3 linked regions of the Bombyx mori genome follow. The protein of the gene in region 1 purifies or fractionates together with the protein of each later gene. This does not show direct contact. Links are inferred from orthologs where the notes say so. Each region holds a gene or a part of one and is shown on either strand. Other genes may lie near its edges. The genes, in order: neutral amino acid transporter 9, ragulator complex protein LAMTOR3 homolog and ragulator complex protein LAMTOR5.

Region 1 (3,656 bases):
TTAAGTACGATAACATCTATACCTAATACCCCAAAATGGGAAACTATTATGTTAAAGAAGAGGACAAATCGTTGACGATAAATAAGGAGACAGTAGATAACCTACAGAATCTGCAGTATTTATCTATTGGCCTTGGAGTAATCGTAGGAGTTATAATACTCGCTGGTTTATACCTCCTGTTTACGCGCTGTCGCAAGGGCGCACAGAATTATATTTGGAGACAAATGAGGTTCCGGGATGTACAGCTCGGACAAGGCCGTCCGTCAGCTGCCACCATCCAGTTGCGTGAAGTCGTGCCTAAATCTCAACCTCAGGAAGCAAGAAGTACCGCTTTCGTGTAACCGCGTTCGTTTCGTGTAATAAGCGATGTACGTAATTTGTGTAATATGTACGTATAGGTTAATATTCTTTTATGTTATGTTTAAATTTTTATTCTGTTCCTTTCTATATTGATTTATATTTTTTGTCATGTTTATTGTTTAACGAAATGTCTGCAATTTTAGAAATTAGTTGAAGCATGTAAATGTATTTTTTTATTTTATTTTTTTAAATGTATTTATTTAAAAAAAGGGGGGGCTTATGTAGGGACACATTTAGCAGCGTATGCAGTTTTGTGCATCGCATGCATTTGGTCAGTCGTACATAGCCCACCCGACACGGCAGACACTGGTGAATATACGGAGTTAAAATTGCAATCAACTTGTTTCATTAGTAAAGGGCAGCTTACTCCTTACTCTTGCTAAAGCTACCGTACAAAGAGATTATCACGTACATATTTATATATAAATGGAATGGGCATTTAGACCATATCGCGATAAGGACGTCATTGTAACCGTGATTAGACTTGTAATGTGAGAGAATGTAATGAAGACTGCTTTTACAGTTTGAACTTGGATTTTGTTTTTTGAAATTGGAATTAGTACATTATTTACCATGTTTCGAATAATTTATAAAGCAGTACATCGTAAAATTAATTTTAATTGTGTTTAGGAATTACGAAATAATAATAAAAAAATATGTCGAGGGGTAAAAGGCGCGGGTCTTTAAAGGAAAGTGAAAGGGTATTTAAGCGATATTTCGCTTAATACGGGACGTTCATCATTGTAATTAAAGGTCCGTTTCATGTGGCATTAGCAACAACAATGCGATGTTTTTCAATTGAAATTCAATTACATTTATCACATTCATATAGCTGAAGAAGTTTTTTCGGTAAGTAAGTATATTTTTATTTTATTGAAGTGAAAACTTCTTTAGAATCGTTGTGATTTCAAACCGGATGCAACGGAAAAAACGACAGGTAAGAGACACAAATACAAAAATGTGTAGGATGAAGCCAGCAAAGAATGAGACAGAAATATACATACTATTTAATACAGCGCCATCTGTGAGATTTTTTAATACTAACGTGTGTATGAAAGCTCTTGTAGTGAATTTTAATTTAGGATTATACGTGAAATTAAAATATCAATTCACAGAGGGCGCTACCGTACAATTATTTACTAATGACAAAATTTTACATATACTTAAGACGTTTAGGATGATTGTATTTTAATTTTGGAAGGTTTCACTTCTACCACGTGTGAATTGCACACATTTTGTTTTTATTTATTTATTTATGTACACACAAAAAAGAAGACATAGTACAGAGTAATAGGAAGATTATGTACAAAGGCACTACTTATTTCTTTAAGAAATCTCTTCCAGCAGACCTGCGAGAGGATTATGAGAATAATAATTAAAAGTGATTATATTTTCTTCCAAGTTTTAAACTTTAAATGGCTCTCTTGTAAAGTTGCAAGAACGTCCCTTAAACCCAAATAACCTTTCACCTATCGAAGTGTTTTCAATGTAGGTATATATTTTTCAGTTTTTCAATATGGAACACGATAATGGGGTCGTCGCTACTGACCATGGCGTGGGGCGTCGAGCGGGCTGGTCTCCCGGCCGCTCTGGTCCTGGTCGCAGTAATGGCGGCCTTGTGTCTTTACACCGCCTACATATTGATCTCAGTAAACGCTTATCACGGTGAGATATTTGTTTTAATTCTTCTTTAGTTTAGCTAAAATTGTTTAATTTTTTGAATGCCCGAGCAGGCATACTAGCATACGGCCCACCTGATGGTGAGTGGTTATCGTCGCCCATGGACGTCAGCAATGCCAGAGGCAGAACCAAGCCGCTGCCTACCGCTTGCTTATGCTGGGTATTCGATCTTACTTTTTTTTTTTATTGCCTTTGTAGCCAGACGAGCATACGGCCCACCTGATGGTGAGTGGTTACCGTCGCCCATGGACTTCAGCAACGCCAGGGGCTGAGCCAAGCCGCTGCCTACCGCTAAAACATCTTAACACATTGACACACTTAACTTACTTAACACATTGTGTTCCAGTAACCACTTAGCACCAGGTTTTTTTTATTGCTTAGATTGGTGGACGAGCTCACAGCCCACCTGATGTTAAGCAGCTACTGGAACCCATAGATATCTACAACTCAAATGCGCCACCCACCTTGAGATATAAGTTCTAAGGTCTCAGTACAGTTACAACGGCTGCCCCACCCTTCAAACCGAAACGCATTACTGCTTCACGGCAGAAATAGGCAGGGCGGTGGTACCTACCCGTGCGTACTCACAAGACGTCCTACCACCAGTGTACTGTGTGGGCTGTGAGCTCGTCCACCCATTTCAACAATAAATGAACATGGAGGATCCACTATTTAGCCGCCTATCGCAAACAAATATCTGCGTTCCTGTAGGTAGCGACACGTGCTCGGTGCAGGCGCTGTGCCGGCTGCTGCTGGGCGGCTGGGCGGAGGCGCTGGCGCACGTGTTCAGCGTGCTGGTACTCCTCGGAGCGAACATCGTATACTGGATACTCATCACCAACTTCTTTTACTTCACCGTTAATTATTTTATAGGTAGGAGCCTATTGTTGTTGGTAAATTCGTATTTCTCTAGTCCAATTCCGTTTCCAAATTATAATTTGCGTAATTACTGGTCGTAGGGTCTCTTGTGAGTCCGCACCGCCCAGCTTATTTCGGCCGTGAAGCAGTAATGCGTTTCGGTTTGAAGGATAGGGCAACCGTTGTAACTATTCAGGTACTGACTTTACGGCACGAAGGTAAAGTATTAATTATAATGTCCTTCTCAAGCCAATATGTACGGTTAGCGGCAGAAATCGGCGAGACAGCGGTATCTGTCCTCCTTCTTCTTCTTTTTCCCCACCTTATCCTACAAGGTCGGGTCGGAACAGCGAAATTTTCTATTTCATCCTCTCTCTCTCTCATATCGTCATTCACACACCCCATTCTTGTCTTCTTCGGTCGACCTCTTCCCCCTCTACCTCGCACTACCATTTCCATACATCTCCTAGTCAACAACTCTCTGACAACTCTCTGGGTCGTAAGTGAGTTTCGGTGACTTTTTTTATTTTTATAGCTTATATGGTTGTTGGACGAGCTCACAGCCCACCTGGTGTTAAGTGGTAACTGAAGCCCATAGACATCTACAACTTAAATGCACCACCCACCTTGAGGTATGAGTTCTAAGGTCTCAGTACAGTTACTATTGCTGCCGCGCCCTTCAAACCGAAACGCATTACTGCTTCACGACAGAAATAGGCAGGCAGTGTCTGGCAACATCTAAATAACTTTAACCCTTG
Region 2 (4,107 bases), about 10 Mb from region 1:
ACTTTATTGCTTCGCATTTATGAACACTTATTCTATTATAATTGGTTGACTATGCAAATAAATCTCTAGAAGTACAAAGGCAATAATTATTGTACCCAAAAATAAATTACGAAAATCCCACAACTTGTCAGTTCGATTCTGCCATTTTGGCAATAGACTTTAAAAATAATTTTTAATCTGTGTTCATTTACATTTGAATTTTTCGCTGTTTCCAAGTCAGTAATATTTATTAAAAAAAAAAAAGAATTGCTCGCTACTGACATTCTCATCTCATTTATTTTTTTGGGGATCCTCACGGATCACTTATCGGCATTTGTTTAATAAAATAAATAGTAAACATTAATAGACTTATGTGGGATTAGTATTCTATATAGATCCATATTCGTTGTATAATGAGCTAATTTTGAATTAAGCAACAGGCACAAATAGATTTTGTAACAGAATAATCATAGAATATAGGTAATCTGTGAACTTTCATGAAATTTCTGAAATTGGCCTAAAACCTTTTTTTTGGAGGGAACGCGAGGAGTGACGTTGTGTGAGTTGTTTTATTTTGTCAATTTAGTGTTTCTTCAGGTTTAAATGTGTAATAACCGTGGTTTATAAACTGTTTAGTATAACTGTGAAAGTGCACAAATGTGGGAAAATGAAACTAAGCCACTGAACGTAACTTCTCGGGATCCTCCAAAAAGTCCACTCAAAAATCTTAGTAAATGGCCACCATTTTACTGAGATTGTATTTCATCCCTTATCATCCCATCTCATTTCATTTCATGTTTCATATGAATGAACTTCATTTCATTTCACTTCATATTATCATTTTTCATACATAATAAAAATATATTTAAAATATAAAAGCTTAAGGCAGCGATTCCCAAAGTGGTCTATATCGACCCCTAGGGGTTATGTTATTTTATTTATAGTTTATTTTATGTTACGTATATTTTACATAACAGATACAAAATTTTATTTTGAGTAGTTTTAATTTAAATTCAATTAATAAATGTATAAATTAACATGGGTTTTATTTTAAGTTTTTAACACTAAACTTTACTACAGTTAGAAATTTACAGGAAATCAATATCAGGTAAGTAGGGGGTCTACCCAACACGGAAAAACATGGCAAGGGGTCTACGACACAAAAAAGTTTGGGGAACTCTGGTTTAAGGTATATACTAAGGTACCTTTGCCTGTCCAGTTGGAAAAACAAAATTAGTATTACTACTGGCGTAAAACCAATTTGTCAACTGTCAACATTAAAAAAATATAAACAAACCTTATTTTTTTCACAATTTAGTATTTGCTAGCTTTCCATATTTCTAAAACCAAAAAAGATTTTTCACTGTAAAAAATATGGTTGACGATCTTAGAAAATACTTGAATCATTTACTGGAAAAGTAAGAAAACTTTATAATTTACGTTTTTACTCTTTGGTTTTTCGTTTTATTATCTTACTTGCGACCCGCCCTAGCTTCGCTTCGGAAATTGTTATTTATTATTGATTTCTCCACTATTTAATGGATGTTATTATACACATAAACCTTCCTCTTCAATCACTCTATCTATTAAAAAAAACCGCATCAAAATCCGTTGCGTAGTTTTAAAGATTTAAGCATACATAGGGATATAGGGACAGAGAAAGTGACTTTGGAAAGTACGTACGGATGGATAAAAAAGAAAAACTATTGATGGCCTTAACTTTATTCTTTTTCAGAGTAAATGGCCTACATTGTATTTTGATTACCGATAGAGACGGTGTACCCCTTGTGAGGGCGGTAACTGAAAGAGCGCCTCCACTAGCTCTGCGTCCTAACTTCATATCCACGTTTGGAATGGCCACAGATCAGGCTAGCAAACTTGGGTTGGGTAGAAATAAAACCATTATATCAATGTATTCTAGTTATCAGGTTAGTTTTGAAAAAAATATACATTATTATTTTTAGTAAGTGATAAATATATAGTTATTGCGTGCTACCGAGTGCTACCAGGCAACCTCCGACGGAGAGCCAGCGCCAAACTATAAAAAAGATCCCTCGCTGCGCATTTGCCCTCTTTTTTGTGTGTAGCGTTCATGTACGTTTCTTGTTGAAACATGTTTTGGACTTGTGTAGTTTTTACAGTTTTCGTTAATGGTAGATTGAAATCATTTTGTTAGAAATTTTGTTTAATTCAGTGAAATATAATTAGACCAGTTCTGTGTAATTTATTTCTATTATATAAGAGGTTTAACTACCTCACTTCTGGTCAATTATAGAATTGTAGGGCTATAAAGCCTCCCTCATACATGGAGCTATTGTCGCTTATTGAGTGCTAGTTATTAGTAAATACATGATGTTGAAGAATGAGACTGCCCTGTTTGCCTGGAATGAGTATAATAAGTTAGTTAAATTTCTTTAGGTGGAATCATTGCTAACACAAGCTGTATAATAGCAAAGGAAGTCAAATCTGGGCACAATTTTGGGCTTCAGTCAATCAGTTATTATAAAAAATATCTAAATTTAAAATACATATTTAGAACCCTAAAATTATTGATAAATTATTTTAAATCGAAATATTGCAATCTTGAGCCATTCACAGTATAATAGTATTTCTAATATTTCTGTAATGTTCATGTTTAATAAAAATAATCATAATTTACAGGTGGTACAAATGAGCAAACTACCCCTAGTTATCACATTTATTGGAAGCGACAACTGCAACACTGGTCACATCTTATCATTAGAGAGTCAGATTGAACCGTTCTTGAAGGACTTGGAGGTGGTAGTTGCAGATGCACCTTGAATCAAACAAGCGAAACCAAAATATTTCTCATAAATTACTCATATAAACATGTTTTTAAAATATATCAAGGCTATTTGGTTTAAGCGACATTCATCTTTGTAATTAAAGGTACCTTTTAATTGGTATTAGCATCAAGACTTTGTTGAACTTTAATTAAATTTACTCCATTCTAATAGCAGAAGAAGTGTTTTTGTCTGATATATTTTTCCAAATTTTAAACATTTTGGCTCACCTGTAAAGTTTCAAAAATGTTGCTTAAACCAAATAGCCTTTTACAACTCTCTAAAATAGGTTTATTAAGGCTAATGTGGGATCGAAGTTACATATTTATTTTTCGGTGCTTTTATGAACTGTATATAGTAATATGAACATTGGCAATGCCTTGCGTTTTTTTACAATAATCTGTTTAGCTAAAGTATATTGATGTAAAATAAGTTATGTGGAACCCATCATAAAGTAATGCAAATCTGCAATTACATAGATTAAATGCAATATAAAAGTTTATCCAAAAACATTACATAATTGCATATATGAATATTATTCGAATGCTTTGAGTGCAAATACCTATAAAATTTGGTGTTGCCAGTGTCAGTTTTGAACTATAACATCTTCTTTTTTTAACTACCTACATTACTAACAATGATAGAAAAGTTTAAAAACTGAAATAATTTATATTAATAAGATGTATATAGAAGCAGGGTTGACTGCATATAGTTAGTAATGTGTACATATAAGGCAGATGACGTATTGGAATATGCAATGCAGCTTGATGCAGAGATGCAGTCCAATATTCCAGGTATTTGTTTAAAAAGTGCATTATATGATTCATTGATTTATGTATGGACATGTAGTGAATACGTCTGGTATGATATTTGCCTAAAATATATTTTTTCTCTAAAAATGTCAGTAGCTACTTTGATATATTACAACTAGTTTATGTGTATTATCTATTATCTATGGTTACAGTATCCCTAAATGTTTATTGGTGTTTAATGTATGTATATATAATTGAATTTTGGAATTGAAATTCTAAAATGCTATTTAAAGTGTCAAAACATATAAAGTTATAAAAAGGAAACTATTTACGTACCATTAAAAGTTAACTGTTTTAGTTCTTGTTTTCTTAATTTTGGGAATTACCTACTTGTATAGTTTTCTGAACGAATTTATCATTGAATTATTAAGTTATAAGAAGCAAACCTTTTAGCCAGATCAGAACTACTATCGTTCGGAAATTAAGGTTGGGGCAGCAACTTTAGGTATGATGGGATTCATTTATTTTCGTATCAGGAATCACCAGCAGTGCCACCTTCTCAATGACAAGTG
Region 3 (4,211 bases), on another chromosome or scaffold:
GGTGTTGAGAATGTACAGTAGAACTTTGCTGCAATGTGAGACAAGGGCTAGCGTGCGGTTATTGTCGCACTTCCTAGTTGACCCTTTTTTATGAAGCGGCAAAATGATCAACTCAGTCCAGTTATTGGGCCACTCGCCATGTTGCCATACGTAATTGCAGATGCTATGCACTGCATTCACACCCCTATCTCCCAGCGATTTAATTATTTCTGCCGTGATGTGATCCGGTCCTGGAGCTTTATTGCTCTTTAGTCGAGAGATGGCTTCTGTTACTTCTGATCGTATTATTGAAGGTTCTAAGGTTATGTCGTCCCAGACTGGGAGTTGTGTACTCATTGACTGAGGCTGATCATATAATCCTTCACAGTATTTACGCCACATTTCGACAACGGCATTTAAATCAGTGATAGGCTTGCCATTGGGATCTTCAATTATCCAGGATCTTGGTTTAAATTTCCGAGACAAAAGGCGAACTTTCTTGAACAAATAAGACGGTTGGTATTTTTGTGAATGTTTTTCGATATCAGTGTAAATGTCTCCAATGAAACAGCTTTTATCTCGGCGGCACGCTTTTTTAATTTCCTTGCAAAGGTCAGAATAAGTCTTCCTGACGTCATCATTCTGTAATCCCTTCACTTTGATGTCTTTCCTCTTGCTTATAAGCTTCTCTTGTTTGCTCCGAAATCCATACTTTGGTTTTTTTTCCGATTTGCATTTCCCTCTCTGCGGGAAGCCTTGATTTCTTCAAGGGATTCGCAGAGATGAGATTTTACGGTATCCCATTGAGTGTTAGCATCGCCTGTAGGAGGTTCTAGGGCTAGTTTTTTCTCCACGGCATCGCATAAGTATGTCCTTTCTTCCGGTTCCAGTGCACGTGGTCCTCTGATGGTTCTACTGCTGGCAGTTTTGTGTCGTAATGTAAATCTTTATGGTCAATTTTTAAAAAAACTACTACCAATTGAATAAGAACTGTCTGATGAATTCATCTTTGTTTAATACTTCACTATTAAATTTTATTGACTTTTGTTTATTTTACTTTTACACTAAACACTAAATATTGCAAATTACCCGAGCACAACAATGGCGGAGAATTTTAGATGCGTGAGAGCAGACGTAGACAGACGTAGACGCATGCACACTTAACCCAGGGAGAAAAAGTTACACTTTCTTTCCTGTACAGCAGGAGGAAAAGTTACACTTTCTTCCCTGTATAGCGGGACGAAAACCGAACTTTCGGCGTCGGTAGGAGAAAAAATTTATTTTCAATTATTTGTACCATTTCGCTATCGTAACACAAACACGGCTCAGTCTAACAAAAAACTTAGTTCTATACACGGCTTTATTTGCTTGTCCAACTAGACTTTAAAAAAATACATCTGTCAGTGCTGATGCTATGTCAAAAGTCAACAAAGAATCTTTTGTTTTGTTTCCAAAAGACAGTCGACAGTCGACTTTGACCGTGTTTTTTATAAATTAATATAAATTTGTTTAATAAAAATGGAAAACGATCTAGACAAAGTCGTAGAAGAAATCATGTCTATGCCTAATGTCAATGGCTGTCTTATCGCGGACCCACAAGGACTATGCTTGGCATCAAAAGGCGCCGCGCACGTAGACTCTGCAGGGATAATCGTTGCCATATCAGAACAGGCCTGTAAAATACAACCGAACATGAAACCGCCCACAGTTTGCCTTGAAACTGATAAAAAACAGTGCCTCATACAACGACATGGCACGATCACCGGAGCGATTTTTAAATTGAAAACATAGAAGGTACTTGTATATTTTATTTATTTATTGAAAATGTAATAATTGTTTATCATGATATGTATGAACGGCCTTGAACTTAAATGAACTCTTTGCTGTTACTTCACAACATAGTTTTCTATGGAACATGAAATTACTTGTAAGTTATGACATAAGTGAAATGTAATAACAATATTTTAATGTACAGGTAGCTAGCCCTACTATAACACGGTATTTTACAACACGATTCCACACTAACACGAAAAGATAAATTCCCCAAAACCTTATAATGAGATTTTTGTTATATAGAAAATTACATTACGCACTATGAACACACAAGTTATGGGAGTAACTGAAACTTTACTGCTTCATCATCATCATCATCATCAGCCCATCATCAGTCCACTGCTGGACATAGGCCTCTCCCAATCCACACCGAGGGTATTTTTTATTTTTATATAATATCATATATTATATAAAAACTTCTATTATTATTCTATTATTTTTTCTATTATTATTAATCTATACTAATATTATAAAGAGGAAAGATTTGTTTGTTTGTTTGTTTCGAATAGGCTCCGAAACTACTGGACCGATTTGAAAAATTCTTTTTCCATTAGAAGCCGACATTGTCCCTGATGAACATAGGCTACTTTTTTTTATTTTTTTTTATTTTTTTTTTTGGTTTCTGTGTGTTTTAATGTTTCCGAAGCGAAGCGAGGGCGGGTCGCTAGTAATGATTATAATGCAAGTTCTTGAAAATAAATCCATTCATGAAAAGAATAATAAGGATGAAGTCTCAAGATGGTGGGTGATAGCATTCACATACTCACATACATTATTCACACATACATTATTAGTAATTATTTAAGTTTCATTTACAGTTAAATAAAGTTTATTATTTGTTTTTCAGTAAAATAAAATTTAAAACAACATTGAACTATTCTGGTAAGCAAGCTATCCAGAAGATCGTGTATTATTCAGCCAAAAGTATGTTAACTTAACATCTCTCAGGAGGTTATGTCTAGTGATAGGAAATAAATTAAAATTATTATTTACTTTTAACTGACCCCCAAAATAACATAAATTTGAATACTTCTTTATCTAGATTTTAATTTCAAAATTTATCTAAAGTATTACCTACCAATCATAAAATGTAAAACCACATAAACATTGTATAATGTTATTTTAAAGAGAATAAATATTAACAGCTAAATTATTGTAATGGCTTACCACCATACTAAGTAAAAGTTTAACAATTATGATTAACATAATATTGTATTCCAAGTATAAGTTTTTCGTAACCACATAAATTCTCTAGTTTCTTCATGTAATAATAATAATGACTGGTTTTTTAATTTGCTTGTTTATTAGCTTTGCCTGTATGCATTGGAATCTTTGAACATTATTTCAACCCACCTCGAAACATTATATAATTGAAATTTAGCACACTTATAAAGGACCGCCCAGAATAATAGAATAATATAATAAGAGTATCCCATTGGACTGACCAGGATCTTCAGGATTATTCTCAAATAATATATAACATAGTATGTTTTTCTTTGGTTTTTGAGTTGTAAACATAATTTAAGTACTTTTACTGTTTAATCTTGCATTAATTATTTTTTGTTATAAGTTAAGTTGCTTTAGTTAACTAAATGATTGTTTAAATTAAAAACTTTCTTTTTCAGCTCGCTAAAAAATACTAAAAAGTAAAAAATATTTGTTAGATGTGGAAAGTTTGTTCTTATAGGATCATAATTTCGTTCTTATTTTAAAAGTTTTAATATAAAAATTAAGTTTAAGTAAGGAAAAGTATGGGGAGTGGTTCTACTGTAAGAAAATATTATTAATGATCATTTTGGTAGTTTTTCAATTACAGCACAAGAGCGCATTATGCAGCATAATGCTCAACGTTGAATGTTCCAACTACAGCAACGCTTCGCACAATCGAGCACTCTCAAAAGTACTGCTGATACTCGCAATCGGTACCAACTCAGTGACAGAATAAATTGACAAGTGTTTTTTCTTTAAGTTGGCATTGATCGAAATTTTGTTTATATTATCGTTAGTAATATTATTTAATGTTGAAAAAAAATGTAAGGCTTTCGTTTCGTCGTAGTTTCTTAGAAATAATCAATATTAAATAAAACTGTGCTAACTTAGCGCACTCTGCTGATGCATTTGAAAACTAATTGACTTTCCAATTAATCTTCAGCATAATTTGGCATTGTGCTTCACTGAGTCGCATTATGCTCTGTAATTGGAAAACTACCTATAACACTTATCATTTAGTTATGGACTATTTATTGTAAGATTTGATGTTAGGCACCCTACACTTTATTAACTTAAATGTTCCACAGGACAAACAGTTACTTAGACTGTGGATAGCCTTTTAAAAGACTATAGAAACGAAACAATTATTTTAATGTTAAGTATCTCTTGTTATTTTATATATGAGGTTT

What was found.
Region 2: the proteins of neutral amino acid transporter 9 (region 1) and ragulator complex protein LAMTOR3 homolog purify together in Homo sapiens (affinity purification with mass spectrometry; 3 studies listed by BioGRID and IntAct, with this or other methods). This does not show direct contact. The link is inferred for Bombyx mori from reciprocal best matches to the Homo sapiens genes SLC38A9 and LAMTOR3.
Region 3: the proteins of neutral amino acid transporter 9 (region 1) and ragulator complex protein LAMTOR5 purify together in Homo sapiens (co-immunoprecipitation; 5 studies listed by BioGRID and IntAct, with this or other methods). This does not show direct contact. The link is inferred for Bombyx mori from reciprocal best matches to the Homo sapiens genes SLC38A9 and LAMTOR5.

Annotation. Positions count from the first base shown.
Region 1 is NC_085109.1:1,879,239-1,882,894, reverse strand, and holds part of neutral amino acid transporter 9, read left to right. Parts: intron 1-1,867; coding exon 1,868-2,025; intron 2,026-2,751; coding exon 2,752-2,913; intron 2,914-3,656.
Region 2 is NC_085109.1:12,157,873-12,161,979, reverse strand, and holds ragulator complex protein LAMTOR3 homolog, read left to right. Parts: upstream 1-1,201; 5' UTR 1,202-1,353; coding exon 1,354-1,397; intron 1,398-1,714; coding exon 1,715-1,907; intron 1,908-2,640; coding exon 2,641-2,781; 3' UTR 2,782-3,892; downstream 3,893-4,107. UniProt on the Homo sapiens protein: As part of the Ragulator complex it is involved in amino acid sensing and activation of mTORC1, a signaling complex promoting cell growth in response to growth factors, energy levels, and amino acids.
Region 3 is NC_085110.1:1,233,047-1,237,257, forward strand, and holds the start of ragulator complex protein LAMTOR5, read left to right. Parts: upstream 1-1,392; 5' UTR 1,393-1,497; coding exon 1,498-1,770; 3' UTR 1,771-1,773; intron 1,774-2,659; exon of another isoform or gene 2,660-3,120; 3' UTR 3,121-4,211. UniProt on the Homo sapiens protein: As part of the Ragulator complex it is involved in amino acid sensing and activation of mTORC1, a signaling complex promoting cell growth in response to growth factors, energy levels, and amino acids.